Sus scrofa: one gene and its partners. The protein of the gene in region 1 interacts with the protein of each later gene in a pairwise test. Links are inferred from orthologs where the notes say so. Each region holds a gene or a part of one and is shown on either strand. Other genes may lie near its edges.

Evidence for each region.
Region 2: the proteins of SEC22A (region 1) and TMEM79 interact in binary tests that used the Homo sapiens proteins (3 or more experiments, as listed by UniProt). The two-hybrid records come from large-scale screens. The link is inferred for Sus scrofa from reciprocal best matches to the Homo sapiens genes SEC22A and TMEM79.
Region 3: the proteins of SEC22A (region 1) and SFTPC interact in binary tests that used the Homo sapiens proteins (3 or more experiments, as listed by UniProt). The two-hybrid records come from large-scale screens. The link is inferred for Sus scrofa from reciprocal best matches to the Homo sapiens genes SEC22A and SFTPC.

The regions. Positions count from the first base shown.
Region 1 is NC_010455.5:137,223,091-137,226,739, reverse strand, and holds part of SEC22A (vesicle-trafficking protein SEC22a), read left to right. Parts: intron 1-474; coding exon 475-638; intron 639-1,749; coding exon 1,750-1,944; intron 1,945-3,649. UniProt on the Homo sapiens protein: May be involved in vesicle transport between the ER and the Golgi complex.
Region 2 is NC_010446.5:93,766,547-93,770,295, forward strand, and holds the start of TMEM79 (transmembrane protein 79), read right to left. Parts: upstream 2,295-3,749; 5' UTR 1,967-2,294; intron 917-1,966; 5' UTR 874-916; coding exon 114-873; intron 1-113.
Region 3 is NC_010456.5:6,439,039-6,442,787, reverse strand, and holds the start of SFTPC (pulmonary surfactant-associated protein C), read right to left. Parts: upstream 2,476-3,749; 5' UTR 2,410-2,475; coding exon 2,368-2,409; intron 1,628-2,367; coding exon 1,469-1,627; intron 1,163-1,468; coding exon 1,040-1,162; intron 782-1,039; coding exon 659-781; intron 334-658; coding exon 235-333; coding exon of another isoform or gene 197-234; 3' UTR 187-196; intron 1-186. UniProt on the Homo sapiens protein: Pulmonary surfactant associated proteins promote alveolar stability by lowering the surface tension at the air-liquid interface in the peripheral air spaces.

The DNA of each region.
Region 1 (3,649 bases):
ACCACTGAGCCATGATGGAAACGCCATACCTTGAAATTGTGTAACAAGTTCTATGTTGTTTCTGGAGAGAGTGTCCATAACTTATCAGAACCAATGAAAAATTCTTGATTCAAATGGTGTTAAGTTCCACTAGGTTGAGGGGTTGAAACCTTAAGCTCTCTGTAACCCTTATATTTCTGTATAGTCTTTCTCCTGTGTTATATACCCCAAGTGATAAATAACTGAAGTGTTAGGACCATAGTATGAACCTCTTTAGGTACATTTTATTATTTTGTCTACTGTTTTTAAACCACAACTGAAACTAGTGTTATATTTTGGTTCCTTTAAATTTTTTTTTTCTGAAATATGTAATAAATGTTAATATCTTCACTGCCTCTACCTCAGCAGTTTATGGTGTATAGAGCCAGTCTTGTGAAGCAACAAATTACCGTTATTTAATTTGAAAATTTAAACCCAATGTTTTTTACACTGTAGTTTTATTAGCTCTATGGGCGTGAGCTACATGATGTTGTGCACTGAAAATTACCCAAATGTTCTGGCCTTCTCTTTCCTGGATGAGCTTCAGAAGGAGTTCATTACTACTTATAACATGATGAAGACAAATACTGCTGTCAGACCATACTGTTTCATTGAATTTGGTAAGGGCCTGATTTTTTTTTTCCTTTTCATTATCCTGTCTCCATCCAGTCATAAGCAATTTTTCATCTAATACTAAGGGATAGAGAGAATAATTCAGAAAATTCTGCTACTTTGCTTTTGATAGGATAATTTGACACATCTTCTGTAAATTATGGCAACTTAATCATTTAGGTGCCTATTGGAAAAAATGTATTTGAGCTTTATAGGGAATTGCGATTATTGGTGCAAAGAATTAATCCCAGAGGACAATTTCTCCATGAGAAATTTGTAAGCCAGAGATTGAGAGTTTTGTGTTTATATGATAGTATTTTTAGATTGCCTAATGTAGAACAGAGGTAGGTAAACATTGGTTTGAAAGGACCAGATAGTACAATTTTAGGCTTTAGGAGGGATTATCTAGTCTTTGTCATAGCTACTCAGTGCTTGCTATTATAGCCTTTAAATTAGCCATAGGCTATAGATAAATGAATGAGTATAGTTATGTTTTAATAAAATTTTATTTACAAAAAAATCAGGCTATATTTAGCCTGTGGACATTAGTTTGCATGACTCCTGATGTAGAAGGGAAAAAATAAATCCAAAGTGTAAATAGTGAAAATAACATTTATTCTTTAAAACATTTGTTTTAATGGTATAAGCAATAAACAAGAAAACAGATTTATATTAATATGGAATTTACAGTATATGTTTTAATGTAATTAAACTGGTAAATAACTGTCAGACTTAATATTTTATAAGATCAGAATGTCTATAAAACTTAAGACTTTGGTTTAAATTTAAAGGGAGCTGTTTTTGGCTTTTTTTTGTAGAAGTTTGGAGTAATTCCCTTAAGTGGATATAATAGAAATAGTCTCAGTCATGTAATGTTAAATCTGTATTTATAATTATTAATTTCTAGAGTATAATTTCTAGTGGGAAAAACTGATGGCACCAGGATATATTAACCATTAAATACAAATAATATTAGGACATTCCCTGGCAGATTGAACAGTTTGGGATAACTGATTAAACTGTTTATTGCAAAATTTACTGTCCATAAACATAGATAGCACTCTCAAATGATTTAATTAACAGATGACCGCAAGGAAATTTATTTTTTATTTTACATAGATAACTTCATTCAGAGGACCAAGCAGCGATATAATAATCCCAGGTCTCTTTCAACAAAGATAAATCTGTCTGACATGCAGATGGAAATCAAGCTGAGGCCCCCTTATCAAATTTCCATGGGTGAACTGGGGTCAGCCAATGGAGTAACATCTGCATTTTCTGTTGACTATAAAGGTGCTGGTAAGATTTCTTCTGGTGAGTTCTGGATCTCAATTACTTCATTAAAAAAATATTTACTAAGGACTAAGGAACTCTTAAAAATGAATTATTCTAAAATTTTAAAGTAAGTACATGAAAGAATGTGGAAGTTCACAGTAATAATTTCTCCCAGTGTTTTATACAATCATCTCTCAAATGTGTAACTAATCAGGAAAATGCCTTTTTTTTTTTTTTTTTTTTTTTTTTTTTGGCAGATGGTGCTGGGATGGGGAGGTGTGTGGCCCAGGGCATATGGAAGTTCCCAGGCCTACAGCTGAACCCCAGCCACAACAGTGACAACACTGAATCTTTAACCATTAGGTCACCAGAGAACTCCCAGGAAAATACTTTAAATAGCAATCTCAAAAGCACTCTTTGTTAGGGGAATATTAAAGAAGATTTCTTTGTGTATATTTTTCTAGAAAAGAATAATAGTTTATTTGTAATATAGACCTATAGGCATGTAAAGTGCTTTTGCATTATGTAAAAATGCCTACATTTAATTAAGGTTAGGGTTCTTGACCGTCACAGAAAATGTGATCATCTACTCAGACATCCCCTCCAAAACAAGGAATACCATCCTCAACAGTTGTGGCATGTTGAAAACTTCTGCTTAACAGTGGGACCTTTGTTATTTTATATGATAACATAGTCCATTATTGAAATATTTGTTTAAAAAATTCCTTCCTTGTATTTTGAGTTAAAATCTGTTTCCCATAATGCTACATTTGCCTAAGTTCTGTGACCTCTCCTTCCCTCTTTTCTGCTGTATCAGAACTTTGAAGTCAGCAACTCTGTGTCCTTTCTATCCTACTAGTCTGATTGACTTCATATAAAATATCCTCAGTTCCCTTAGCCTTTTTGTCTATGGTATTTTGAAGCCTTCATCATCCTGAAAGCTTCCTCTGTATATGTTTTGTTTGTTAGTATTCTTCAAATGTGGCATTTAGTACTGAACACAACACTTCATATTTGGTTTGAGTAATATAAATTACGGGAGAAAAAGGGAAGCAGATTTCACTAAAATAATCCAGCTGGTCAGAAAACAAGCAAACTAGCAAATAACCGTAACAAACCCTGGGGAAGAGGAGGTAGATCACCACCCATAGTTGTTAAAATATGTTACTAAATATTCTAGTTTCCAGTGAAAAAAATTACATGACCTGCAGAGGAATAATATAATCCATACACTGGAAGTGGGGGGAGGGGAGAGGAAGGCAGGGAATAGAAACTGCCTGTGAGAGTGATCTGATGTCATATTTAACAAAGACCTCAAAGTGGCCATTCTAGAATTTCCTGTAGTGGCGCCGTGGTTGAGTGTCTGACTATAGCAGCTTGGGTTGCTATGGAGGTGCAGTTTTGATCCCCAGCCTGGCGCAGTGGGTTATTAGGATCCAGCATTGATGCAGATGTGGCGTAGTTCGCAGCTGTGGCTCAGATTCAGTCCCTGGCCTGGGAACTTCCATATGCTGTGGATGTGGCCATAAAATAAAAACAAAGTAGCCATTATAATTATCTTCAGAAACTAAAGGAAACCATGATTAAAGAAGTAAGGAAGGTATGATGATGCAACATCAAATACACTGTATTAATAAGACATAAAAATTATAAAGAAAAAGAACCAAGTGGAAATTCTAGAGGAAAATTATAACTGAAAAAATACACTGGTTGGTCTCAACAGTAGATTTGAACTGGCAGAAGA
Region 2 (3,749 bases), on another chromosome or scaffold:
CCGAGGGTCCAGGTCTCACAAGGGGAAACTCTCCTGCTCTCCAAGCCAGGAAGGCCCTGCCCTCCAGTCCAGCTCCCAGATGCCCCCTCCCTTTTCACAGGACCCAGGCTCACCCAGAACAATGGGGAAGGTGGCAAAGACCCCGCAGCGCAGCGTGTAGACGAGGCGGGAACTCATGGTCGGCAGGCGCGGGGCGTCGAAGGGCAGGAAGGCATACGCCCCGTAGAGCAGGCAGGGGAAGAGGATGAAAGCAGCTCCTACGGAGGCCACAGCCCTGAGCCCCTCATGGCCTCCGCAGCCCTCGCAGCCCCCACAGGAGCGGCCAGGCGGCCTCACCACTGCCTCAGCCCACTTGCGCTCAGGGGGCTCAGCGGGGGCGGCCCGGGTGGGCAGGAAGGTCCGGCGGCGTTCGCCCTCGCTCGCCTCACAGCGCACAGCAAGGTCCTCCTGTGGCCGCCGCTCAATGCACTGCAAGTCGATGGGCACGAAGGCTCGGGCCGCCTTCTCAGGCAGCAGGCAAGCGTCATCTTCGGGCAACTCCTCCAGCTTGGTGGCTGGCTCTGACTCGAGGGGCTCAGGCTCAATGTCTCTCCAGCCTGGGGGATCTGGGAACGGGGCACTGGGCTGGGGGCCAGCCCCCCAGGGCAAGGTGGCAGCCTCACTTACTGTGCTATCTAGCCCATCCTCAGTCCCCTGTCCGGCTGTGGGAGACCCAGCTGAAGACCCCACTCTGGAGGACTCGGCTCTGGGAGACTCAGCTCCACCCTCCCCCTCTGTCTTCTCGCCATTGGGGACCAAGGCCTGGGGTGGGCTTTTCTCCAGGGCTGCAGGCCCCTTCACCTCCAGCAGGGCCATGGCCTCGGGTTCCGTCATCCTGGGGCCTCACTTCTGGGGTCTACCGTAAGGTCGTGTCACCCTGGAAGGAGCAGAGGGAAGCTCTGTCAGAAGCTGCTGCTCTTGGAGTTCCTGTAGTGGCTCAGTGGAAATGAATCCAACTAGTAACCATGAGGTTTCGAGTTCAATCCCCGACCTTGCTCAGTGGGTTAAGAATCTGGCGTTGCCACGAGCTGTGGTATAGGTTGCAGACGTGGCTTGGATCTGGCCTTGCTGTGGCTGTGCCATAGGCCAGCAGCTATAGCTCCGATTCCACCCCCAGCCTGGGAACCTCCACATGCCCCGTGTGCGGACCTAAAATAAAAAGGCCAAAAAAAAAAAAAAAAAAAAAAAAAAAGCTGCTGTTTTCTGGGTTGATAGAACCGAAGCTCAGCTGGTCTTACGGTGGGCTTTAGCCCCATCTGGGACCTTAGGGAGAACATGGTCCTTGTGTTGAAATAGAGTGAGGCAGGAGGGAAGTGAGCAGCTGAAATGGAGACACCCTTTCGACATCAAATGCTATTCACCAGGAGAGGGTGAGTCAGGGGGCACAGGCCCTGGCAGCTGTGGCCTCGCCTCCACCCACATCTCCTGCCCCTCTCCACCAAAACCCCTGGGGTCATGGCCACCCAAATGCAGGAATGAGAGGAAAAGGAGGTGTCTAGAAATTTGCCAAGGGCTTTCTTCTTGCTAAAGACCTTCTCGTGGACAGAGAAGCTTCCCTTTCACTTCCAAACCTTGCCTTCCCCTGAAGACCCCGGACTGGAACTCTCCTGGCAACTTATACCAACGATTTGCCAACAAATCTGTCCCAAGGAGCTGGCAGTAGCAGGGGACCCTGTTCTTTCGTCTCCAATCTGGATACTTGGTCGGTTTTCAAACTTCTCACCAACCCACTCCACATCTGAAGGGCCTGGGTCTGTCCATTTTGACCTCTAGGTCTAATCAAAGCTGTTTCCCATGCCTCCTCTCCTGTCTTTCTCCCCTCCCTGCCGTCCTCCATCTCACTGCTTCTGGATGAGGCTAACTTCCCTCCCTTCACTGCTCAAGGACCTCCGATCCCTTAATGTTTGGACCCGTGACACCCACTTACTTTCCATCTGGAGAGAGGTAGAGGGTCCCCAGCGTCCGGGAAGGAGCTGCCTAGCTCGCTGCTGGCTCTGCAAGTATTTCTCTCCGTCTCCCTCCCTTTACCTGGGTCTCCAAACCTGTCTGACCAGAGCAGGTGGGGCCCAGATTAAAGGGCAGGCCCCGCCCTGCTGAATCTGCCGACAGAAAAAGCCTTAGAGAAGGACGTCATGCTCTCTGAAAGTGGGGGTGCAGCTGAGCCTAGAGGTAAGTGTGTTCTAGGAACATGGGTTTTGTAGGAACTCCCAGCACAGGAAAGCAAAGGGGGAAGAATGGGTTTGTGCATCAGAAGGTGCTTGGGGAGTTCCTGTCATGGCTCAGTGGTTAATGAACCCTACTAGTATCCATGAGGATGCAGGTTCGATCCCTGGCCTTGCTCAGTGGGTTAAGGATCTGGCATTGCTGTGAGCAGTGGTGTAGGTCACAGACGCAGCTCGGATCCTGCTTTGCTGTGGCTGTGGTGTAGGATGACAGCTACAGCTCCAATTGGACCCTGGCCTGGGAACCTCCATATGCTGCGGTGTGGCCCTAAAAAGACAAAAGACCAAAAAAAAAAAAAGGATGTTGGAGTAGGTTGGAAAACACCCAAAAGAGAGGTGGAATTTCTACACTTATTCATTCAATATTTATTGAGCACCTGTTATTAGTTAGGCACTATTCTGGGCATAGACATAGGAAAGAACGAGATGACAGGCAAAGTCTCTGGACTTAAGGGGCTTGTTCTGTTGGGGTAGCAGATAATAAAGAAGCCTAGAAAATAAATCAATAAGACAATTTCAATAGGAAAATTTCTTTGCCAAAGTGATATTTGAGTTGAGACCTGCTGGGAATCAGGAGAATGGGTGTTTCAGGCAGAGGAACAACAAGTGAAAGGCCAATAAAAAGGAAAGACAGGTTGTTTCAGGAACATCTCCCTAAGCACCTTGCTTTTTAGGTTAGGTTTAAGGTTACAAAAACCGTGGCACAGTGGTTTAAGAACGTGACTGCAGTGGTTCTGGTCACATAGATCACAGCCATGGCTTGGATTGAATCTGTAGCCTGGAAACTTCCTTATGCTGAGAGTGTGGCCATTAAAAAAAAGACAGCAATAGGAATCCACAGTGATCTTTCCTATGGGAGGACCAGGGGGCAGAAATGTAAGGGTGTAACTTCTCATTCCTGTGGATCTTTTCCCCTTAAGTCATTAGAGCTTCGTAAGGGGAGGGACAATGTCTGAATTGCTCATCTCTGTGACTCCAAAATCCAGCACTGTGGCTGGAAGACAGCAGATGTTCAATAAATGTTTACTGGAACAGTAAGTGAGGAACATGCAAGTGGAAATCTTTGGGTTGGGGTCGGAAGCTGAAGGGCTGAGGTGTCTGTGTAAGAGTCTTATCTTGGAAGGCCTTGTCATACTCGGTTCTTTCCAAAAAAAATTTCACATACAAGTTTTTTGCTTGTTTAAATAATGGGGGAAAAGAGAGAATTAGAATCACTGTAACTAGTAACCTGAAAGAGGCTCGACTCAAATGGGGGCGACAGAAAAACGAACCAAATGACCACAGTCAGACAAGGCAAAGCCACACTCCTAGCTGTGAGCCCATCTGCTTAGGCTCAGCCCTCCTTAGAGTCCGCTGTTCGCTCTCTGGCAACTTTGTCAATAAAGTTTTTCACAAGGGCTTGCAGAAGCCGGAAAGAGGCCATGCCGCCCAGAGTTAGTTCTGGCAACTTCCCGGGAGGGAAAACGACTTTCGCGAGATTTGGTAGCA
Region 3 (3,749 bases), on another chromosome or scaffold:
GGGGCAAAGAATAACAACTTTAATGGAAAGGTAGCAGACGGAAGATGGCAGACTAGTGTCCCAAAAAGCCTTTTGCCTCAGTCTGAATTCAGGCTCCTTTCACACTGAGAAAGAGGAGGGGGAGGGACCAGTGGTCACTCACTGTCACTTGCTTGCTCCAGGGCCCTGGAGGTCACACCTGCTCACCTGATGTTTCCTAGATGTACAAGAGGGGCACTTCGCCACACAGGGTGCTCATGGTGCTGCCCAGGAAGGCCAGGTCCCCGGAGGGTGCTGAGCCAGCGACATGCCCTCCTCCTGGCCCAGCTTAGAGGTAGGCGTCGAGGGCTTGGCCTGGAAAGAGCATCTGATTTGAGAGCCTGGGAACTGAGTTTCTGTCTCACCTGCGGCCCTCATTATGGGACTTCAGGTGTGCCTGGTAATCTCTCTGTGTAAAGAAGGGGCTGTGCTGGAATCAGAAGCCCCCAGGGGGTGTGGGGCTCAGCTGAGGCCAGTGGCATGGCTGTAGGTAGGGATGAGGAACAGGTAGGAAAGGTTTGGTGCACGGGTCTAGGCAGGGCGTTCACCTGGCAGTCCATGAGGCCTTACAGGTGACAAGGAGCCGTCATTGCAAATGCTCCTCCCAGCAGCCCTGGCAGGGAGATAACCCACTCCTTACATGCACACTCACCTGGAAGTTCTGGAATTTTTTGGTGAGAGCCTCAAGACTCGGCATACTCTGCGGAGACATCTTCATGACATAGCAGCAGGTTCCCGGGGCTGGCTTGTAGGCAATCAGGAGCTGTGCACGGGAACGATGGAGTGGGTTAAGGAAGGCACTGCTTAGTTTACTCTCTAACCCTGGGCCTTGGCCACCTCCCTCTAGGATGGGCCCTGGGGGGAGCCATATTGGAATCTGGGGCTCAGGCACCCCCCCAGGGGAGGTAAAAGGGCTGGGGGTGGGGAGAGATGGATGACATGTAAGAAGCAGCATAGCTGGGCAGGACTAGCATTGTCTTGTTATTGGTCCCCCAGCCCTAGGGTCAGGAGTCATACTCACCCGCTGGTAGTCATAGACCACATTGCCACTAGAGCCAATGGAGAAGGTGGCAGTGGTTCCCACATGCTCACTCAGGGCCAGGCGTTGCTGGGCTTCTGGCCCTGCGAGGCTCATCTCTAGGACCTGGGGGAGGTCGTAGTGCTTCCTGGCATTCCTCTCTTCCACTCATTCCTTTGCCTCATGCCCACCCTCAGTCCTCTTTACTCAAATGCAATTCTTTCTTCCTTTGGGTGCTTAGAGAGGCCGAGGGGAACCAGGTGCTGGAGGGAACAGGCTATCCCACCCTGGGACAGGGGCCTGGTAAAAAAGCTCAGGCCAGCATTACCACCCTGCTCCCACCTGTCCTTCCACTAGGTGCGCCTCACTTTCCCTCCTTCCCCTCGGGCAAAATGCTACCTGACCGGTCTACCCCATCCCAGGCCTGCTCACCATCTCAGTATGTTTCTGGCTCATGTGAAGACCCATGAGCAGGGCCCCTACAATCACCACGACGACAAGAACCACCACCACGACCACGACAAGAAGGCGTTTGAGGTTCACAGGACAGCAGGGGATGCGGAGCCGGCCCCCTGGGACTGCTGAGTAGTCCTGAAGGGGGTGAGGCAGGCAGGGAGACAGGTGTGAGGTTGTGAAGATGCTCCGTCTTCTTCTTATACGATCTGGAAACCCTCCACACTCTCCCAGGGCTGAACAACCAATGCTAGGGGCATGCAGCAGGGGGCTGAGGAGATCAGAGAAGGCTTCTGGAGGAAGGGGCCTGGATTTCAACAAACCCATTGATGCTTAGAGAAGTCTAGCTTGGAGAGACCCAAGGGAGCCTGTTTCACCAGTCTCATCTCCTGCTATTTCCTGGCATCCCAGCCATACCCAGTCCCTCTCTGTCCCCCCCAAACCCATGCTGTATCACACCCCCATGCCTTTATGCATATGATCCCTTCTTCCCATAATGCCTTCCTCCTTCTCCACCTAGTGAGCTCTGACCTGGTCTTCTGGGGCCAGCTTATTTTCTCTGTGAAGCTTTCTGCGACCTCCTAAGTAGTGGCTCCTTATCCAATGCTCTTAGCAGCCCTTTCCACTGACCTCCGTGGTGGCTCACAGCCCCTCGTATGGGAATTAGTGGCTGCCACACCGATCTCTCCAGTCTACTATGACCAACCTACCATTAGGCTAGGGTCCCTCTCCCAATTTAGCACAGTCCTAGGTTAGTTGAGCGAATGAATTTGGATGAGGAAACAGGCTGAGAGGTTGGAGGAGGCAGGACCCACCACTCACCTGCACACACAGACACACAAACACACACACACACTCCCTTCCACATGCACACTCACCGGCGGACTCTCCATCAGGACTTCTTTGCTGCCTACATCCATCTTGCTGTAGGCACCTTCCCCTGCTCATCCCCAAGTGTGACCAGGGTCTTATATGCACCAGGAGGGAGAGAGGACAGAGGTGAAAGACTTGGCCTCTGTCTACCAGCCAAGCCCTCAACTTTGAAGCCTGTTTGTTCCTGGCCCTTCAGAGCCAAGGCCCTGATAAGCTAGCTGCAAGAGCGCCTAAGGGTCCTTGGCCCTGGCACATGAGTCCTCTTGGCCCTGGCAAGAGCAAAGCTGGGTAAGCTGAGCAAACTTGCCCTTGGGCAATCTGCACCTCTCACTGTGGGTGTCTTCCTGGCATGCCCGTCTTTCTTGCTGGCACCTGCCCATGCAGTTCTGTGGCTTTCCCTGTATGTCTGCCAGGCTGGACCTCTAAGGCAGCCCCAAGGGTCTGACCCAATGGGGAGTCCACCACCTTCCCAGCAGAATTTCCCCCAAGCACAGGGCTGAGCTCCAGGAAGGTGACTGAGGCGTCTGTGCCTGTGGACCTGCAGGGGCACTACTAAAGGCATGAGGTGCCTTGGCATCAGTGTGGGGGTTCGTAAATGGTTCATCAGTTCTCTGGGAGCATCAGATTTTCACTTCAAGTGAGGTAGGAGGGAGCTGGGCCCCTGGGCTGAGAACAGCTGGGACTTGTTAGGCCAAGTGAATCGTTTCTCTTTGACACCTCAAAGAAAAATTTAGTTGAAAGAGCTGAGCTCTGCTGAAGTAGAAAGATAAGAGGACCACTTCGATCCCTCCTGGGGCCAAGGAGATCCCCCAGTTACACAGGCACAGTATGACTCCCAGGGGTCTAAAAGGGAGGGGGCACTGGGCCATCCTAAGTCCTGATACCATCGAGGCACCCTTTGCTCTGGAATCCATCTTTCCCAAAAAATGTGCATGTATACTGGGGAGGGTCAAGAATCAGGGCAATTCTGCTTCTAGCCTCTAGCTGGTTAGGATTCCTGGTTTTCATCCAAGCTGCCCAAGTTCAATTCCAGAGCAGAGCAGAGGATTAAGATCTTGCCCCAAGCCATCACTCACTGCTGTCTCTCCAAGATCATTTGGTGCCAAAACCCAGGAACTTCAAGGTAAACTACTGGAAATCCGGGAATTTCAAGGTAAACTGCAAGTCTCGCCCAGCTGCCTGTGGCTTGAGACCTCCTGGCTTTGCTCTGACTCTGTTTTCTTCTGCTGTCTCTAGTACTCCTTGCTTTCAGTCTCTGCTCTGCTTCCTTTCTAAGACCCACAGAGCATAATCTCTGTCTGCTCACTGTGTGTTATGGTTCCCCTTAAAATATTAGGGTGGGAGTTCCTGTCATGGCGCAGCGGTTAACAAATCCGACTAGGAACCA